Linked DNA regions of Mytilus edulis. The protein of the gene in region 2 interacts with the protein of the main gene of each other region in a biochemical or structural test. Links are inferred from orthologs where the notes say so. Each region holds a gene or a part of one and is shown on either strand. Other genes may lie near its edges. The genes, in order: DNA/RNA-binding protein KIN17-like and methyltransferase-like protein 22.

The links.
Region 1: of the proteins of methyltransferase-like protein 22 (region 2) and DNA/RNA-binding protein KIN17-like, one has a biochemical effect on the other in vitro, tested with the Homo sapiens proteins (2 studies listed by BioGRID). The link is inferred for Mytilus edulis from reciprocal best matches to the Homo sapiens genes METTL22 and KIN.

Annotation. Positions count from the first base shown.
Region 1 is NC_092344.1:36,395,078-36,405,350, reverse strand, and holds the start of DNA/RNA-binding protein KIN17-like, read left to right. Parts: upstream 1-6,155; 5' UTR 6,156-6,262; intron 6,263-8,914; 5' UTR 8,915-8,950; coding exon 8,951-9,070; intron 9,071-9,629; coding exon 9,630-9,724; intron 9,725-10,273. Other genes in the region: threonine synthase-like 1, read right to left, coding at 1-250, 818-958, 3,709-3,846. UniProt on the Homo sapiens protein: Involved in DNA replication and the cellular response to DNA damage. May participate in DNA replication factories and create a bridge between DNA replication and repair mediated by high molecular weight complexes.
Region 2 is NC_092352.1:3,179,923-3,189,501, reverse strand, and holds the start of methyltransferase-like protein 22, read right to left. Parts: upstream 3,642-9,579; 5' UTR 3,602-3,641; exon of another isoform or gene 3,406-3,601; intron 3,328-3,405; exon of another isoform or gene 3,190-3,327; intron 1,483-3,189; 5' UTR 1,454-1,482; coding exon 1,381-1,453; intron 1-1,380. Other genes in the region: putative sodium-coupled neutral amino acid transporter 10, read left to right, coding at 8,694-8,786. UniProt on the Homo sapiens protein: Protein N-lysine methyltransferase. Trimethylates KIN at Lys-135 (in vitro).

The DNA.
Region 1 (10,273 bases), on a different chromosome or scaffold from region 2:
GTATGTCTATCATCGGTACATCAGGGCTTTGTCCTACAATACGATTAACTTTCATCTTTTCTAGTCGATCAACGATGTCGTCATGTTTAGTGTCCAAGAAGACTACAATTCCAGTTTTGGAAATGTGGTTCATAGCAGCTGAATACATTGGATTTGATCCAGATAATGATACCACGTGTCCATTGCGGTCAAAGTGAAGTAACGCCCTTCCTTCTTCTTCAACAAAACGATCAGGTCCCACTTCAGATAACTGGAAAAAATCGGTAAGATTTTCAAAATCGACAAAACAAAAGTTATACATTAACTGTTTGGAATTTGTGAAAAAATACTAAAAAGTAAGTATATAAAAATAGAATCAGCAATAGTTTTTTTTTAATGAAAATGTTGACTTTCCATTAACAACTGTTCATAGTTCACTAAATATACGTAAACTATTATTTTAATATACATAAGCTTAAAATATCAGAACAAAGTTCACAATGCATGGTGTCTAGAATGGATGTGCAAGAATGGTAATCCACACAAATTAAATATGTATGCACACATAATTTAATGAAAAAATCAGATGTTTTGATTATTTAAAAAAAACAGAAGATAGCGGATGACCTCAATCAAATTTAACAACAAACATTTACCAAAGTAGACATTCATACTTCACGTTGTGGCCTTCAACGAGCAACAACGTCAGTAAGCATATCTGAAGATCTTGTTAAACCAGATCGTAAAAGAATCTTTAACACACTTTAAAGAAGAAACTACAACGGCGTTTATAATTTTTTTTTTATGAAGCTAACTATATTATTAGAAATAAAGTTACCTTATCTGCCACTGACATTCCCCAATATGGTTCTAAGTGATGATCATCTATGTCAGCCACTGGGAAACCAAGACGTTCCCCTAGTATTCTGCCTAGTGTGGTTTTACCGGAACCTGGACTTCCCATTAATATTATATTTGGCTACAAATAGTCATTATAATATATTTGTTACACGATGAAAATATAACGTGTTTAAACAAAAACCAAGCTAGCACATAGTAAATGATTTTTGATGCCCAAAAAGTATAACTACTAAATAGTGATGAACAACAATGTTCCAAGTTATTCACCGACTGCTTCTTATATTATAATTGAACATTTATCAGTAACGTTGTTAAAATGATAAAGATGCGCATGCCGTCAACTAGACATGAGCACAACTCTGCTTATCCGTTGATTCAAATTATCATGTAGTTCTGGTCATCAAATAAAATTAACGGTACCAATTTTCTTGCACCAGATGCGCATTTCGACAATACATGTCTCTTCAGTGATGCTCGTCAAATTGTTCCATGATATACCATGTGTTTTGATGCACTTCAGTGTTTCTGTTCTTTCATTGTTTTCCTCCTATAGTTGAACCTTCCACCAGGGGGAAATACAACCAACTTCACAGGTTTTGCCAGTCGAAGCCTTCAATAGATTCCTACATTGAGCTATTCCACATCAGCTCCAAATCCACCAACTTATGGAGCATGCTAAGAAGACGCCAGTGAGACCAAAGATGGAATAAACTACGACAGTAAAGGACCCCTATCAGCAAAGTTAAAGATGAATTGGAGAAGCTTCAAAAGCGAACTACAAGATATATCAACAGCAGAAATCAAATATCATTTGTCTGCAACCTGATAAGTGATCTAGGGCTGTAAATTCTACAAATAAAGGCAACAGTAGTATACCGCTGTTCAAAACTCATAAATCCAAGGACAAAAAACAAAATCGGGGTAACAAACTAAAACTGAGGGAAGCGCATTAAATATAAGAGGCGTAAATCTGTAGCAAAATAACAAATTACCTAATAGCCATAGACAATATTAAATACACTTCAGGCCAATAAGAAGCTCCGATCGCACAGGAAATAATTCCTACCAACTACAGCTACTCATAACAGATTGTATGAAGTGTTCCCTCTGCGGAAACACCGCAAATAATTTGGAACAAACCTACAGTCTACGGATATCGCCACATATATGTCCCTCAATCCACACAACTTGAGATGGTGCTAGCCATGTGTGAGAACTCTGCAATTTTCAGGGTCGAACTCAATTCTCCAGACATATTTACAAACAGGTTAGATCTAAACGTACTGACTTTGGATATGTATTTTAAGTGATCCAAAGAGTTGACGCCGTTGATGTTTTGTGGGAGTGAATTCCGCAGGACAATTGTGAATGGAAAAAACTGTACTTGAAGTAATCTGTTTTGGAGCTGAATGTTTGGTTATTAAAGTGAATTGTTGAATCTTCTTTTTTTTTTACTGAAAGGTAAATGTATACTGATATAAGCCTTTGGGTGTTATTTTGTACATCATTTTTACTCAATTGATGTATCTGCAAGTTTCAAGTCATTTCATTTGTAAGATGGTCAATCATGGAAGTGGCACTACTGGTGTCATGGTACCTGTTGGTGACGTAGAGTGCTGCTATTCTTTGTACATTTTCAATGTTTCGTGATGGTACTATGTTTATATCATTTTACAACAGATACATGTAAGAGACCTTGGTCCAGGACAACATATGAATTTGTAAATGATATTCCTAGCCTAGTAAGGTCTTAAAATAAATAATAATGCAACAGACAGGTATAGGCTGAAAATTAATATTCTGTCTCACAAAATACTGGAAATAGCAAAGCCTGGCGAAATAAATGAACCCGCATTGCAGTTGATGTGAAAAATGAATTTTCTTTCCTTGAACAATTATTTTGGTCTTCATCTGAGATGAAGCAGCAGAAACCTCGTATAACTCTTAAATACATTGTTTCGAGACTGACGCATATGACGGAGTTTCAAGGCTTTCGTTTATTTTTAAATCAAAACTATCTTGTACATAGCTGTTGTTGTCTTCAACGGTCAATGTATTTCATGGAAAGCATATAAAACAAATATCAGCCAAAGAACTTAACAGCTGGGTCCAGAGTTAAAGGGCTCTCTTCTTCTTCCCGTTACGAGTCGGACTATGTAGTAAAGTGTAATTGACTTGGGCGCATCTCAAACAGACAGGAGGCCACTTCTCTGGCCAAAAGTAAAAAAAACCCCAAACAAATGGACGATATTTACAATAGAATATTGATCTTAATTACATCTATGTACACTGGTTATCCTGCTGTCTATTTCAGTTGTGGCTGGGTCCAGCCTGAGGGGATGGTATTCACTCTGGCCCTGAAATCTTCTAGAGATCCGGACTCCACTACAGATTCGGGGAGTTTATTCCATTCTCTAGTTGTTTTTGGGAAGAATGAGTGGTAGTAGACATCCCTCTTCACTTTAGTTTGTCTAAGTTTGTGGTTGCCCCTGGCCCTAGTGTCCACTGTTGTGTAGTATTTGGCTGGATCAATGGCAATCAACTGGTGTTGAGTCTTATAACACAGCACCAGACTCTGTTTCCATTGTCTGTGCTGCAGTGATTCCCATTGAAGTTGGTCCAGTAGCTTGGTAACACATCCAGCTCTCGGCTGAGTTACTACACTGTTAGCGTAAACTATCAACAGTATACATGTGTATGTAAAAGAAAATTGACGTAACATATTTTCCTTTCAGGCAATCAATAAGAGTAACAGACTGTTAATAAAAGCAGTGGAAATAGACTGAGATGAATTTAGCAAATGAAGCAGTGTATGTGTATATACATGGTATAGGTATACACTTGTCAAGTCCATTTTATTATGATTACCTGTTTACCACCTGATTTAGTAGAAAATATTCTGTAAGGTAATTTGCAACCCAAACACCAGCTGATTCCATTCTGTGCTGGTCTGAAAAGTCTGTTGTGGCATTTTAACAAATTTAACAACGATTTCTGAAATTTCATGTTGTTTACTATTTCGGCTTTACTAAATAACTAAATCACCACAGGACATGGACACGTATGTGTGTGCTTAGTCTAAATAGATTACATAGTTTTTCAACTAAGTATATATCTCAAGACGATTACAGTTATTGACTATTAAAAATTAGGAAGCAAGGCTTCGAAACATAACTGTGATGTAAGAAGTAAATTGTGATATTAAATTAAAGTACAGACTAGCGTAACAATATAGTCATAAATATATTATGAGCAAGCCAACGGGAATAAGAAGTGAACTAAAATAAAACCGTATAAAGGACTATATTATATCATGTCTAGAACTATTATAAGAGATCTATCATGGGTAATCACATCATCACAATTGTTTTAGCAAGTAAAATCCCATAATCATTAAATAGTTTTTTTTTTAACAAGATGATAATCAAAAATTCAGTCCGCTTAGCCTCAGTGATTATCAAATAATCAAATAATCATTAAATATTCGGTCTGGTAATCAAATAATCACTATAAAAACGGTCAAGTAATCACATAAACAACGGAAAATTCTGAAGCGGAACAGAATTAATTCTGACGAACCTAATTCGTAAAGCCGGGCCAATATAAAATCAATGCGAAGTGCATGAACTACATTAATAATCTATCTTAAAAAAAAATATTATACGCTAGTACGTATCCTAAACTTATTTCACAAATACTGAAAACCTCCTTTCACCCGTAGTGATAAAAGGGTTGCGTTATTTTTTTTGGTAATATTTATTGATCAATTTATTATATTGTACACTACATTATGTTGCTCTTGTTGCACACAATGTGTGCCTTGGTGTATTAATAAACTTGTCTTGTTTTGTCATAATAAATAACTAAGTTGAAAAGAAACCCACAATATTTTTTTCTTTTAAAGCCGGGACGTCACTTGAAGATCTACATGCAGCATTTTTTCTATGTTGTAACTAGAACAAAGGAGACACCCGCACTGAGGGTAAATGAAATTCGAAGTACAACCTCATTTGCAAAAAGAAAAACATACCGCGAGACTAACAGATTGGCAACAGTCCATCATTAAAACGATTCACAGCCAATTTAAGTTTGAGATTGAATCATCAAAGCGGGGATAAACTCATCTGCTCCTTAGGAAGGCCAAGCAGCTTACAGTTCTCTCAGTTTTAATAGCAAAATTTGCATATTTAAGTTAACGTTACCACTTAATTATTAGTGACTGTTTGACATTGCTAAATCGACTCAGTGATACATATAACAAAAGAAGATGTGGTATGATTGCCAATGAGACAACTCTCCACAAGAGACCAAAATGACACAGAAATTAACAACTATAGCCTATAGGTCACCGTCCGGCCTTCAACAATGAGCAAAGCCGATACCAAGTTTCAAAGTTTTTTTTATTTCTTAAAGACTTCAACAGGGGTATGTGAACAATAAAAAATACTACATTTATAAGTATTCATAATATAACAAAATAACAAAGTATCAAAGTATTAAATGCAGTGAACATTATAAACATTCATTACATGTAACATATATATATACATTTGAAAAAGTAATGTATAAGTCAAATGGACATATTAATGGTTGAAACAATTTTAGTTTAATTAACAACAGCTAGTACAATTTAAAAAAAAATAAAAAAATTTAAGAACAACATTGTAAGAGTCAGAATTAAATAACTCATACAATTTTTACCACACAGTAAGCTATAAAAGACCCCGAAATGACAATGTAAAACAATTCAGCCGAGTGTGTATATATAACACTTTAACATTTCATTTTTTTTTTTGCTTTCTTTTAAAAGTTTGTTTAATGATATATGTAAAACTTGCATGGATATAAATCTAATTTGAAATGTTTATCCCCGGCCGTATAGAGGCCGCCGCATGAGAAGTTTGGTTTTCACGTTGAAGTATCCATCTTTATAAATACGAAAACTTTGCAACCACTGAAAATTAATCAAAGTCTTTCTAATCAGATTTTAGAATTTGCTCTTTACATGCTCATAGTAAACACCGTCAGCAATCTGTAATACATGTACTGTGAAAATGAGATTTAAGAAATTAATATCATCTGTAGATGTGACTTATGCATTGGCCTAGATGTACAATAAATTTTATATCATGTCCATTATCCCTGTCACCCATCCTTATCCTTTTGATTTTTTGTTAAATTTGTACTCTTCTTGAATATGAATGAACAATGTCATTGTGGAGTTATGCTGTTCATATAAACAGACCATAGCATGCATAAAAAAATATCGGTCCGGATTTAGTCGTGTCCTTGTCCATCGCTTGACTTTGCTATTTATTCGTAATAGTTTGTTTCCGGTTTCTAGTTTGACTTTTTTCGAATTATTTTGTCATCGACTATTTTTTATATTAATAGCTTTTTTATATCAGGAGTTAAGAATGGGGTAAGATATTTCAAGATTATCATTGAAGCAGGTTGGTTTATTTTTCATAGTGCCGTGAAAATTCGCGAAGACTTGAGTGAAGAGTAAAATAAAAATATGACAATTAAATTTTGATTTTAACTTCTCATTTACAAAAATGACAACGAAAATGACAAACTGTAATTTGATTTTAAGAGTGCCCCTTGTGTACGGTATCAGGTCCGTTTTCTTTCAAGACACATTCACACCCTACATGTCTACATGTTTGCACCCCACAGGTTCGACTCCTAGCCCTAGGAGGCAATGTCTGTTAGCCCCCAATTTTATTCAATTACCTATGATTTTTAAAATGTATCTATTAAAATATTGATAATGGGTCTCATTTGGGTCTAAGCATGAGGCAGGATTGCCGATATTTGTATCAGTGAACTCAGTGACACATGAAATATAAATTATTGTGCCGTGAAAAACGTTGAAATAAGTGGGACACGGGAAATTGCAAAAAAATGAAAACTGCTTACGTACATAGTGTAAGCGTGATTTGGAATATGACAAAACAGTTAGCAGGATCCGAGATCAGAACCCCCAATGAGACACCCTTGATACATGTGATACATGTACATAAAATGATGTACATAATTTAAAGTACAAAATTTCGTGAATTTATTAAATGAAATATTTTTTTTTTGTGACTAGATGATTAATTATTAATTTGTTTATGATTTAATTGTTACATGTATTCAAAAAGTAATTTGGTAATATTGATAAGGTACCTTGAATGACCGAATAACACCGTTTTTATCTAAATAACACTTGTAATGACCAAATAACATTTGAAATTTAAATATTAGCACATTTTAGTTACTTTTAAACATTCATTATTAAATAATAGTATACAGTGTTCTCCCCAGGCCGTTTTAGCGTCCCGGTACCGCGACGCTATATTTTTTCACCGTGATGCTATAATAATTTCCGCGACACTATAATTATTCCTGCGACGCTATAATTATTCCCGCGACGCTATAATTATTTTGAAGATGCTATTTTACCTGTCCTCAATTTCGTACTTTCATCTACATGTATTATCGATTATGATCATAAAAATTATATCACCTTTAATTGTAATCCCTTTAAGTCGGACATTAGAGGCAATTAAGAGGTTAAATAGCTAGGTGTTAATTGCCCTCAGGGTGATAACTGTTTAGATGCAAATATCCCAAGCTGACACTTGTGACATGACTAATACACCAATTTCGACATGGAAAAATGCAATCATATTAAGAAATTTCAAAGCTTGAAACGATTATTATTTTTTTTTAAAAGATCGTTTATTTGTGCAACTCTCCAAAAATTACTTTCTTTCTCTTCCGGTAATACGAGAGCGAGAATTTTGGTTTACAGCTAAGATAAGTTTAATACTTCTTTAAAACGTTATCATAATTGGCTTAAGTTTATGTTTAATCCATTTAATGTATTAAAAGCGTCTTATTCATTCACAATCTCTTGTCAAACAATGTTTATTCTCGGACTCATTTTCATAAATTTTTCTACGGCCGCCATTGCACATTTTAGTGTAAACTACGGAGAGGAACCGGATGAGATATGACAAAAATCCGCATTTTCACGATAATGACAACAGATGGACAGTAGACAGAAAAAAATATACCAAGAGGGAAAACTACGCATTAACAGACTATTTGTTAGATAACTTTGTTAAAAATACATATCATTTTAATGTAAAGATAAGAAACTACTGGGACTAATTCATTGAGTGCCATCATGGCCATGAAACAATGAATTTCATAAACATGATAAAAAAAAAGTTTTAAATTGATTTTTTTTGGCTACTTTATCTTTACTTAATATAATATAAAAAATAGTTAATTTTGTGTACTAGATATTTAGTTTTGTATATATACAGGTTGCACTATAGTTATAATGAACCATTCATTCATTTGACTTATTGTTGGGTAACTGAAACCACATATTTATTTTTGTTTGGCACAAAAGAAAAAAAATAATTCTGTAACTATAAATGAATAAAGAAATTATTATATATAATATAGTTTAATTGTATTCTCAGTTATGAATTGAACAATATAAACTAAAACATATAAAGGAAATAGAGCATCAACGCGACGCGTTAAATGACATTAAAAAAAATACAGTTATTTTTTTTTACGCAAAATGTGATGCTATCCAAAATTTCTGGGGAGAACACTGGACTATATTATAAAGGTTTTTATAACTTAAAAATGATAAATAAAAAGCAAGTGTTCTTAAATGAGTGCATTTGCTGGGTTTAAACTCTCAACCTCAGTGTCGACTGATAGTGATTAACTGATTACATATTAGTATACCTACTTAGACCACTTGGCCACCAAGGTCCCTAGTATGCTTTAAGTTTAAAAGCAAAGTTTCTGGTAGAGGACTAAGAGGAGGAAGATAAAGACTAGCTAACAGGTCTACATTGTTAACTTTTAATATTGATGTTAAGAAATTGAAGATTACTGATTTGCAATTTATGATGTTATTTGGTAGTTTGTTCTTACATTTTTTTTTCTTAGGAAAATGTTATTTGGTAGTTTGTTCTTAGGAAAATAAGATTCTTTTCTGTACTTTGCATGCAATCTTGTCGTTCTTGTTTTTTAACTGTCCATGTATTTATTTCAGGATTATTTGTTTCTTCTGTTGAAATAGACATAAAAAATGGGAAAAGAAAAGGGAGGATTCCTGACACCAAAGGCAATTGCCAACAGAATAAAATCCAAAGGTTTACAGAAATTGAGATGGTATTGCCAGATGTGTCAGAAACAGTGTAGAGATGAGGTAAAATTAAAAAAGAAGGGACAGTTCAAGGGAACATGTAAATGAAATACACTTTAATGTCTTTTGTTAAAATAATACATTGTATAAACAATGTTATTTCCTACAGGAACCCCTTTTACAGCGTAAAATGTGTGCCACATGAACTTTCCTATAGAAAATCCTTTATATTTTCAGATTCTTCTTAAAAGTACATGCACTCCTTAAAGTTACTGTCATCCCGTACACTAGTTTGTAGATCTACTCAGGCTCTGTGTTGGTTGTTTATCAATGACAAGATCCTGTAAACCTCTGCAACAAACTAAGATCAATGAGCTTGTGGTCATCAACTACTGAATGAATATTTTGTGTCAATAATACATTATATATTCATAATGAATATAAAAAACTTATGTATGCATGTATGGTTCATTAATTTCAATAACGTTATAACATGTATAACTACAAAAAAATGTTTCATATGAATTTTAAACTCTTGCCTATCATATGAATTTGCTGACCAAAACTGTAATACAATGTATATATCTTACTGTTGGATTTATAATGATTATTAATATTACAGAATGGGTTCAAATGTCACACAATGTCAGAATCACACCAGCGTCAGTTGCTATTATTTGCTGAGAGTCCAGATAAATATATAGATTCATTTTCAGAGTAAGTTGTAATATCAGAAATTGTATGATAATATAAATCATGAAATCATTATTGTACCAAGAAACAAAATTGCAGCACCAACATTAACTTTATTCTTTGAACAGATATGAAATCACATGATTTTTAGTTTTTCTTGCAAGAGACAAGGATTTATTTAATTTAGTGTTGGCTTCAGCTCTTTTAAATCTTTATAGTTCAGAAGGTATGAGTCTAGTCACCTATTCACAAGAGTTCAAATGTTGAAGATATAAGCAATTATATGTCATCATAAGGCATTCCACAGTGAGAAACACCCATAAAAAATTGTAGTCCAGCAGTACTTTGAATTAATAGGTAGCAAAAGGATGGACATGAGAAGCATTGTTTTCCAATTCCACAGACCCTTAATTTCTAGTTGAAATTTCCTTACATGTACATTTGTATGAATGCTGAATTTTTCATTGTTGATAAGAAAAAAATAATATGTATTTTAAAAATAATATGTATTTTAAAAATAATATGCATTTTAAAAATAATATGTATTTTTTTCAAGTAACTTATTATTTTCTA
Region 2 (9,579 bases):
TCTCAAACTAATACATGTAAACTAAGATAGGTTTCAAAGTCATTAGACTATGACTGAGGGTCAAGGCCAAATATTATGCATGGAAATGAGATGTGCCAATGCTTATACAACTGAATATCAATTAACATTGGCCTACCACTAATGGTTCCCCTTGAACTGACCTAATAACAAATTAATACATAACTTACAAAAAATTTCAAAGTCAATAGACCATGACTAAGGGGGCGGAGCCAAATCATCTCCATGGAAATGAGATATGCCAATGCTTATACAACTGCATACTAAATATTATTGACCTACCACTTGTGGTTCCTCATAAACTGACCTAATCACAAACTAATACATGTAAAACAAGAATGTGTCCCAAGTACACGGATGCCCCACTCGCACTATCATTTTCTATGTTCAGTGGACCGTGAAATTGGGGTCAAAACTTTAATTTGGAATTAAAATTAGAAAGATCATATCATAGGGAACATGTGTACTAAGTTTCAAGTTGATTAGACTTCAACTTCTTCAAAAACTACCTTGACCAAAAACTTTAACCTGAAGCGAACGGACGCAAACGGACAAACGGACGCACAGACGGACGGATGCACAGACGGACGGACGAAAGGAGGCACAGACCAGAAAACATAATGCCCCTCTACTATCGTAGGTGGGGCATAAAAAGGCAAAAGTTTTGAAGCTAATAGACCATGACTGAGGGAACAGGGCCACATAATCTCCATGGAAATGAGATGTGCCAATGCTTATACAGCTGCATACCAAATATGATTGACCTACCACTAGTGGTTCACCATAAACTAGACCTAATCAAAAACTTATACATTGTTGACACCGCCGCCAGCCTGAAACAGCATACCTTTGTCTCGCTTTTTGACTCTGTCAAGGCGAGACAAAAAATGATCCACCTATATTTCATAATCAATATCAATATCAGTGACTGCACTTCATAGACGGTGTCATACAGCACTGTCATAAACAGTAAATGGATACACTTGTGCAAGGCATTGAACAAACGAGCAATGAATTTGAATGTCAATACAGAAATGCAAAAGTCTACATTAACCATAACCATTTTTAAATTCTGATGTTCAATCTTGATCAATGATATACTTATGATAGAAGCTTTGCTATTTTTTAATAAGGTAATACGAGCTAAATAAGGAGATACTTGTAAGTGCAAGATAGACAAATATAAATATTAGTATATTACTAGTATACTGCTGTCATCTTTGAACTGATAATTTTGTACCATCAGATGAACATTTAAAAGTACAATTTAATACCATCATCTTTGTTAGTAAAATGTTACTAACTAAATGATAACATAGATTTTTAAAATGTTCAACAATTGAATATGGAGTAGTAACTTACTATTGTAGCCTTTTGACTGGTTACTTTGGACCTGTAGATGTACATCTGAAAGTACTAACTCATCTTTCTGCATTATTAATCTTCATTGATCACATCAGGTTACTAAAATATAAACAAATATTGGTTGTTTACACTGTTTTTTTTAGTTTTATTATGTAGGGGCAAAACACTTGTACCCAGGAAATCCACGAAAATTGGTATCCAAGGAATAATAATGAATCCACAGTATATATGTTTTATTACCAATTAAAATTATGTCAATACAGTCAAACTTTGACCTATTTTGTCCAATGAATTATGATGTCTTGAAAGGATCATATTTTTTTTGCTTTGAGGCTTTCCTGCGCAGGCGTTAACCCAGTTGAAATAGAACAACAGAATCAAAGCTCTTTGTTAGAGAAGGCGATAAATGCTTACTGTAATGTTTACTATAGAAACAAAAAAATAAAACGGCAATTTTCTTCTCAATTACGAAGTGTTTTATCTTAAAAACACCATTTGCATAAATTTTCAATTTATCTATTACATAATAATGCAGAACAATTAGATATCAAGTCGACGACATGGGTATCTTTCAAGTTGGATGTAGAAAATGCATAACCTTCGATTTAAATAAAATTTTTACCACAGACACAGAGAACATATCAATCTATTAGTTCAGTAATTTTTTTGTCTGCTCTTCCATTATGTGACTCAAGAAAAAATTCTAAAAAAATACAACTGACATAAAAGGATCGTAATGGTGCTATTTGGATAAATTTATCAGTTTTCAAGAGCAAAATTGGCAGTGCGTCATCCATACAATGGCTTTAATTTCTACGATTGTAAAAATGAAATGGTGTAATGGGGAGATAATTTTGACGAAGTAGAATCCTCAGACTGTGTGGTGTCAAATCAAGTGTCAAAGCAAAAATATATATGTCTTTAAAGATACATGCATGTATCATAATTATTTGGACTACTATTTTTGTCTGTCTTAAAGAATGATAATGTTAAATACCATGCCGCCACACCAAATTTTAATTTCATCATACATGTCTAAACATATGACAACTTTATGACATTAATAAATATTATATATATAAATACATATAATTCTAATATGACGTGCTTCTTTCGCTTTGTAAACAACACTGTGATAAAATTCTCGATATATCTATACTCAGCGCAGACTCCGAGATGTACATAATAATGGCGGTTACAATATACTTCCCACGTAAATCCACATGTATTGAAACCTATTTGCAAACCCTTTGCCGATTTTATTGTTTTAAAAATTGCAATTAAAAAAGACAAAATCACTTTTATTCTTATTCGGATGCAAAGAAGTAATGCAAAACAGCTCGGAGAAACCAGCAAAATAAAAATAAAATAAAATTCCGCGAAAGTTTATTCATGTATTTGGCGCTATCAAAGTCATTTCAAAACATGACGTCATACAAATGAAAACGCTAGCGTTGAAAGTTTTCTGTTACGTGAACCATTTAAATTTCGTTTACTATTGCATTAAAATTGATTCTCAAGGTAGGTTTTGTTTGATTTTCTATTCTATTGCATTATTCGCATATTTACTGATTTCAGCAAGTCAACATGGCGGCTCCTTAGTTAAGAACTGTCAACTTTGGATTTTACGGTAGCTTACGAGAAAAACATGTAAATCAAAATGGCAATTGTTGGTTTTGAGAATGAAACAGATTTTTTTCGGCGGTTGTTTACGAAATAATCCATGCAAGCTACGAATTTACTAGAATGTTCGAGCTTTATCTAACAGGGAGTAAAAAAGAACAGCCGCACACACAGCATACCCACCCTCGCTTCAGTTTTTTTAATGATCGTATTTGTCCTATTAGAATCGAAATAATTCATGGAAGCCATAGATTATTGGAAATTTACACATGGCCTGGGCCGTGATATTCGTTAATTTTATCCCTCGCTAACGCTCAGGATAAAATTCGAATATCACGGCCCAGGCCATGTGTAAATTTCCAATAATCTATGGCTTCCATGAATTATTTCTTAAATTACTTTACAGTCACATGTGTTAAAATCAACTACTTCAACCTCCAAATGCTGTAAAAACTTGGAAAGGGATCTTACATCACATCCTTTTTTGTTTGGGTTATTTTTCGGTTGAACATGCATACATGACATCTGGGAACAGTATATCTAACGTTAATATATATGTTACTGATGACATGTAGTTTATAAATTATTTGTTTACAGTGTTTTTCCGCTTGACAATTACGTTTCTATCCGGATCGTTTCTAAAACTAATATTCTCCGTCTGAATCATTTTGCGCTTTAAACAGTTGTTAAAGACGCTAATACAAGCGTTTATGAGAAACAGAATTTACACGTTTCCTCGAAGCAGACAACAAGAAAAACTTTGCTTATAATATCGGTAATTTACTCTGATAATTTATCAGGTTGAAACAATTATAGGCATACTATAGATCTAATAAGCTTTTAACCGACAATCATGCCAGTTTGACATAGCATGATAAATAAATCTCTTATTTTTGTAATTTGATAAAAAAAAAAACAACAAAAAAACACACTCCTGTATAAGCAAGGATTTGTATAGTAAGACTTACTATACAAATCCTTGGTATAAGACAACAAAATACATATACATGTAGATGTCTACTACTTTTGTGATTCTCTGATACATTATATTTATAAATGTTGAATTGTTCCTGGTCAGGGGACAAAGCAATTCACCAATTATTGACTGTTTTACCGCCAGTGTTTTTTTTATACATCTACATCTATTCATCTGCAATGGAAATCCGTAACACAGATACTGCTTTGCAAACGTAAACCTGCATGCTTAGTATTTCCAAAATTGGATAAAAACAGGTGGTTTCTGTTAACAGCTGCAGTCTTCTAAGTTACGTCTTATGATTTGATAGCCAGTTGAGGTGCTACATTTACAATGTATAAATCAGAAACTTCTATAGATAAAAAAATTCCCAAATGGAATTAATATTGGGGGCCAAGAACTAATTGAAACACTTCTTATACCATGTACAATTAACGTTTACTCTAGCTACATGTATTAATCAACTTTTGTAATATAATAATTAGACTATAGAGTATAGTCTATACTCTAAATAAGACACTGTCCACAATTTCCATAGAACTCCCAAGAACTGAATATTGACATTTAGTGCATGGAAATGTCATCACATTTAGATTATTGTCTCTGGGTAACAAAATATTTTTGTTTTCATCATGATCTGGTAATCAGCAACATTTTGTGCATGAGAATTGTTTTTGAAATTTGATAAAACAAAAAATGGTTCAATTAATATATATACAACTCGTCTAAACATCAACCCAACAATGTTAGATCTGTAAATTTGCTTTCACAATTTTTTTGTTCTTCCCTCGCCGGGATTTAAAATAGAATAGAATAGAATATTTTATTATTCCAATCAAGGGCCCTTGATGGGCAGCATAACATGTACACATAGAACAATACATCATGATTTGTAACAGAAAAACATTTTTATATAATAAAATGAAACATTAAAAAAAGTTCAGATAGGTGTTATTATCTTCATTCTATAAAAATCAAATACATTTAGTTCCAGGCAGGATGAGAACCATAAAATCATTACAATTATCATTGTTATTACATACATTAATTAACATTTTGTCTAACATCTAGACATGTATTATATAGATTAGACCGTTGGTTTTCCCGTTTGAATGGTTTTACACTAGTAATTTTGGGGCCCTTTATAGCTTGTTGTTCGGTGTGAGCCAAGGCTCTGTGTTGAAGGCCGTACTTTAACCTATAATGGTTTACTTTTTAAATTGTTATTTGTATGGAGAGTTGTCTCATTGGCACTCACACCACATCTTCCTATATCTATGTAATAATATAGCTCCCTAAATATTTAAGTACATACAAATTTTCATTAGTAAATAACCAAACAAATTTTGCCTCATTTGAAAGATGTATTCGAACCCATGCTACTGAGATATCGTGACACCAAATCGCCTGCACTGTAGCTGTCCCGCTAGACCACAGGACCACCTGGGCTTCATAAAAATGAAGCTTTCAGTCGCCAGGTGTTACCTCTCCATGTCAGTTTTAATCTAGGGTTGTACTATAGTACATGATATATAAGGCATGGAGATGTTATTTTTACAGATCAGCTAAATTATCTATAGTATAGAATCCTACAAATTAATGTAAGATACAGTCACAGAAAATAATTATATTTATAAGTACGTCTGAGCCAGTGACAACTCTACAACAGATTTATATATATATATACAGTGCGATTAAAAATACGTCATTTAAATTTAATAGCAGATCTGAGCCTTGAAAGATTCAGGACTCATTAGTACAGTTGGGCAAGTTGTTCCACTCCCTAATTTTTCTATGATAGAAAGACTCCTTCTTACAGTTGTTTTACATGATAAAATTATTACTGCATGTATTTTTGAAACTGTTGTTCTATTGATTATCATTAAAAGTGGCTGCGCTTTAATAAATGTATATATACAACTTGAAAACCCTTTTATTTTCATAAAAAAATAATATGAGAGGGATTTGAATGGGGTGTCACTTCACCAAATCATTAATATTGTAACGTGTTCGCTAACCGATGTGAACCTTTCTAACCAACCAAACCAACCACCAGACCAGACAGACACCAACAACAAACCAAAAGACTTGAACAGGAAATATGAACGCTCAAAATAATAACTAGTAATACTGCTGCTGTATACTGCATGTCATATAAATCTAGTTTCTTGGTCGGCGCAGTCTCCTTTTTATGTGTGTGTGTGTGTGTGTTAGACGGGTTGTATTTTTATATGTACATGTAATGCAATACAATATCACATTAGAATTTACGTTGAGGTCTGAATGTAAACACGAAATCGCTTCAAGTGTATAAAAAGTTTTATTCACCAGACATAATACACCTTATCGCTAATCCCGGCTGACCTGGCCGCTTGAACTTTTGACGCATACAACAATCACTTTTCCATTGTGGCATCAGATATTTTGTTTTATGACGTCAAAATTTTAAGGGAACCTGTGTGATATCCATTAATGGCGGACAAATAGCGATAAGGTGTATATTAATAACAACTGGAACACGAATTAACAGCTATAAATCTCTTAAAGCAGCATTCATCTGTATAGATAAGACGAACAGATAATGCTCTAAAACAGCTACACCAAAAATCAACATTCAAGAAACTCGGATTTATCAGCAACTCTCCATATAAATACATGTAAAATACTACTCAAATAAATAAGTCACAATTTCGTAACCCTCTTTCTATATTATAAAAATATAAAATGAAACAAACGGACACTTTTGCCGACTTTACGCACCTTTCTCCTATTTAAAGTTGAAATTCATTATAAAACTTTATTCTCAAAACTTATATGTATAAAGAAAACAAGAAAACTATTAAATTTCTGCCTCCATTAAAACTTGACTGGAAACTGGAACAATACACCTTATCGCTATTTGTCCGCCATTACTGGAAATCACACAGGTTCCCGTAAAATTTTGACATCATCATGATCATTAAACAAAATATCTGACGCCACAATGGAAAAGTGATTGTTGTATGCGTCAAAAGTTCAAGCGGCCAGGATTAGCGAACTGCATAAATAATTATATTGTATATAATGCAATATTCAGGAACATAAACTGCTGCTTTAGACATGTTAGAAAAACTGTACCTTGAAATTTATGAGACATGTAAATTAAGCTGCTATCCGGTGGTAGGGACAAGTTGGAACTGACGTAAAATACTATAAATCTTATGCTAGTGTTGTTATCTCGCGTGAGAGAAATTCCAAATATATAGGTAAAATTAGTGACCAAATAAGGAAACTTCCTGAAAAGGTAAATATCTTTGCACTTAACGTCTGATCAAATGACGTCATTACAGCCCTATTACTGTGAAAAGGTGCGCAACGTCAGTGCTAAAATAGTTCATAAGAAGTTATTACTCTAATTTAAATAAAACTTCCTTCTACCAAAACTTTACATAAAACACTAACCTTTATCCCTATTTTGACAAACATACAAAAATATAACTACAACATGTTCAGGACAGTCTACAAATTATACGATTTCTATTGTCACTATATTTATGATAATACTCGTGACTTCCGGTAAAAGAGAAAGTGAAAGTAATGTACAATTAATCAAGAGTTGTAGATTAGAAAACACACGTTTTCTGTCATTCTGGAACATACAATATTAAAACCATTAAACAATACATAGGTAATAATGAAATAAAATACACACATTTACTGCTTTAATAAAATAATACAAAGAATGATGGGCAGAAATATAGACAAAACAATAAATTCTATTTAAGTTAAAACATGAAGTCTCCATTATACATAAAGTATTTACCAGATTAGCTAAATAATAGTTCAACAAAATATAGACAATATCAATAAAAATTTAGGCACTGCTATCTGTCATGTCTGTCAAAAACGTCACAATATAAACACATGATATTATAGATGGACCATTATTATTATTTTGGTCTATGAATAATGATTAGGAAACAATGAAAAACAAAACTTCAGTTCACCACATGAATACAATAAGTATATATCAAAGATTCATACAGATATTATTGCAAAAAAATTATATTTATATACATGTAGGATGGAAAAAAAAACACCTTTGGTTTGGATGTCCTTTAACTGATATTCAAACGAAATGATGTCCTTCCTGGATAAGTGCACATATAAATTAACAATATTTTAGTTCACTGTTGACAACTGTTAAACTTTGTTTTTGATGCATTGATTTCTTTTATCATGTTTATACATCTGTATAATATTTGACTGATTAAGTTATGGATTTTTGAGGCAAACGCATCTAAAGTTGAAATGTTTTTATCTAAACATAATAAAAGTTCTGTATTAGCATAACTTTTTCCATTGCTTTCAAATTGAAAATGGAAATGGAGAATGTGCCAAAGAGACAACAACCCGACCATAGAGCAGACAACATGTCAAAGGATAGTTGTCAGTAACTAATAAGTCAATTACATAGATTAAGCTCAATTCTATTATTCTAAACATTTAACCAATGAACTTTAAACTTCCCCTTTATCACTACTGCTCTAAAATTTTATCCTGAAGAACATTTAAACATTATCTGTTATAATGCAATAGTATTATAAAAATAAATATAATAACTACGCATACATGTATTTAAGGATGAGCAACAAAAAGTTTTCAGAAATCTATCATAACACAATTTAACATATTTATTTTTGCTCTTTTCAGACAACAGACTCTAACCATCATGGCAGAAGATAGTCACATACCACACATTCTGAACCTTAGTAACAGTATTATAGGTGTAACAGTGTTAGCCATGCCATTTTGTTATAAAGAGGTAAAATTAAAAACAAACCGAAATTTTCTGTTTGTGTCTTTAGTTGTAGTTTTTGAAATTGATAAATACATGTATTTTGAAAGACATAATTAAGCTCAACATGGTGAAAGGTCCAGTGCCATACTGATTGAAAAGGCAAGAGGGGTATTGATAAGCTAAAAGGCCAGAGGGGTATTGTTACGGGAAAAGAGCCAGAGGGTATTTATTGGGTAAAATGACTAGGGGTTATAGCAAGTATATTAGTTTTCGTCTGAAATGGTCGTTTTGATCTTAGCATCATCTGAAAAGTCTGACCAATAGATTATTAAGTCTTGTTCCGTTCAGTTCATTTCAAACTTTTCCCCTGAGGTTAATTCAGGACAAAATCCTTGCATATTAGCAGTCTATTCAGCACATCTACCCTAAAATTGTGATGTAAGTTTAAGGATTGGTAAATTTTGGCTCAAAATTAAAAAAAAAAAATTTCAATCAGAAATAGTAACTATCATGTGCTTGTTTAAGAAATGAACAACACCAAAAGCACTATTTGTTGTCAGATGTGGGCTTTCAAGTGTTAGTGAGTGAATTGTTTGTGTGACACCTTTCAGTGGCACAGTGGGGTATCATCACAGAAACTATATATAAATGTGGGATTATCCAGGGAATCATATGACATGTTTTATTTTTCATTGTGGTATAACTGTTGGAACTATCTTATTGATTTGTGTGTTATTATTATATTTCAGTGTACAATATCCTGGGAATTAATTAGTATTTTTCAGTGTGGCATTGTCTTAGGAACTATTTGTTATTT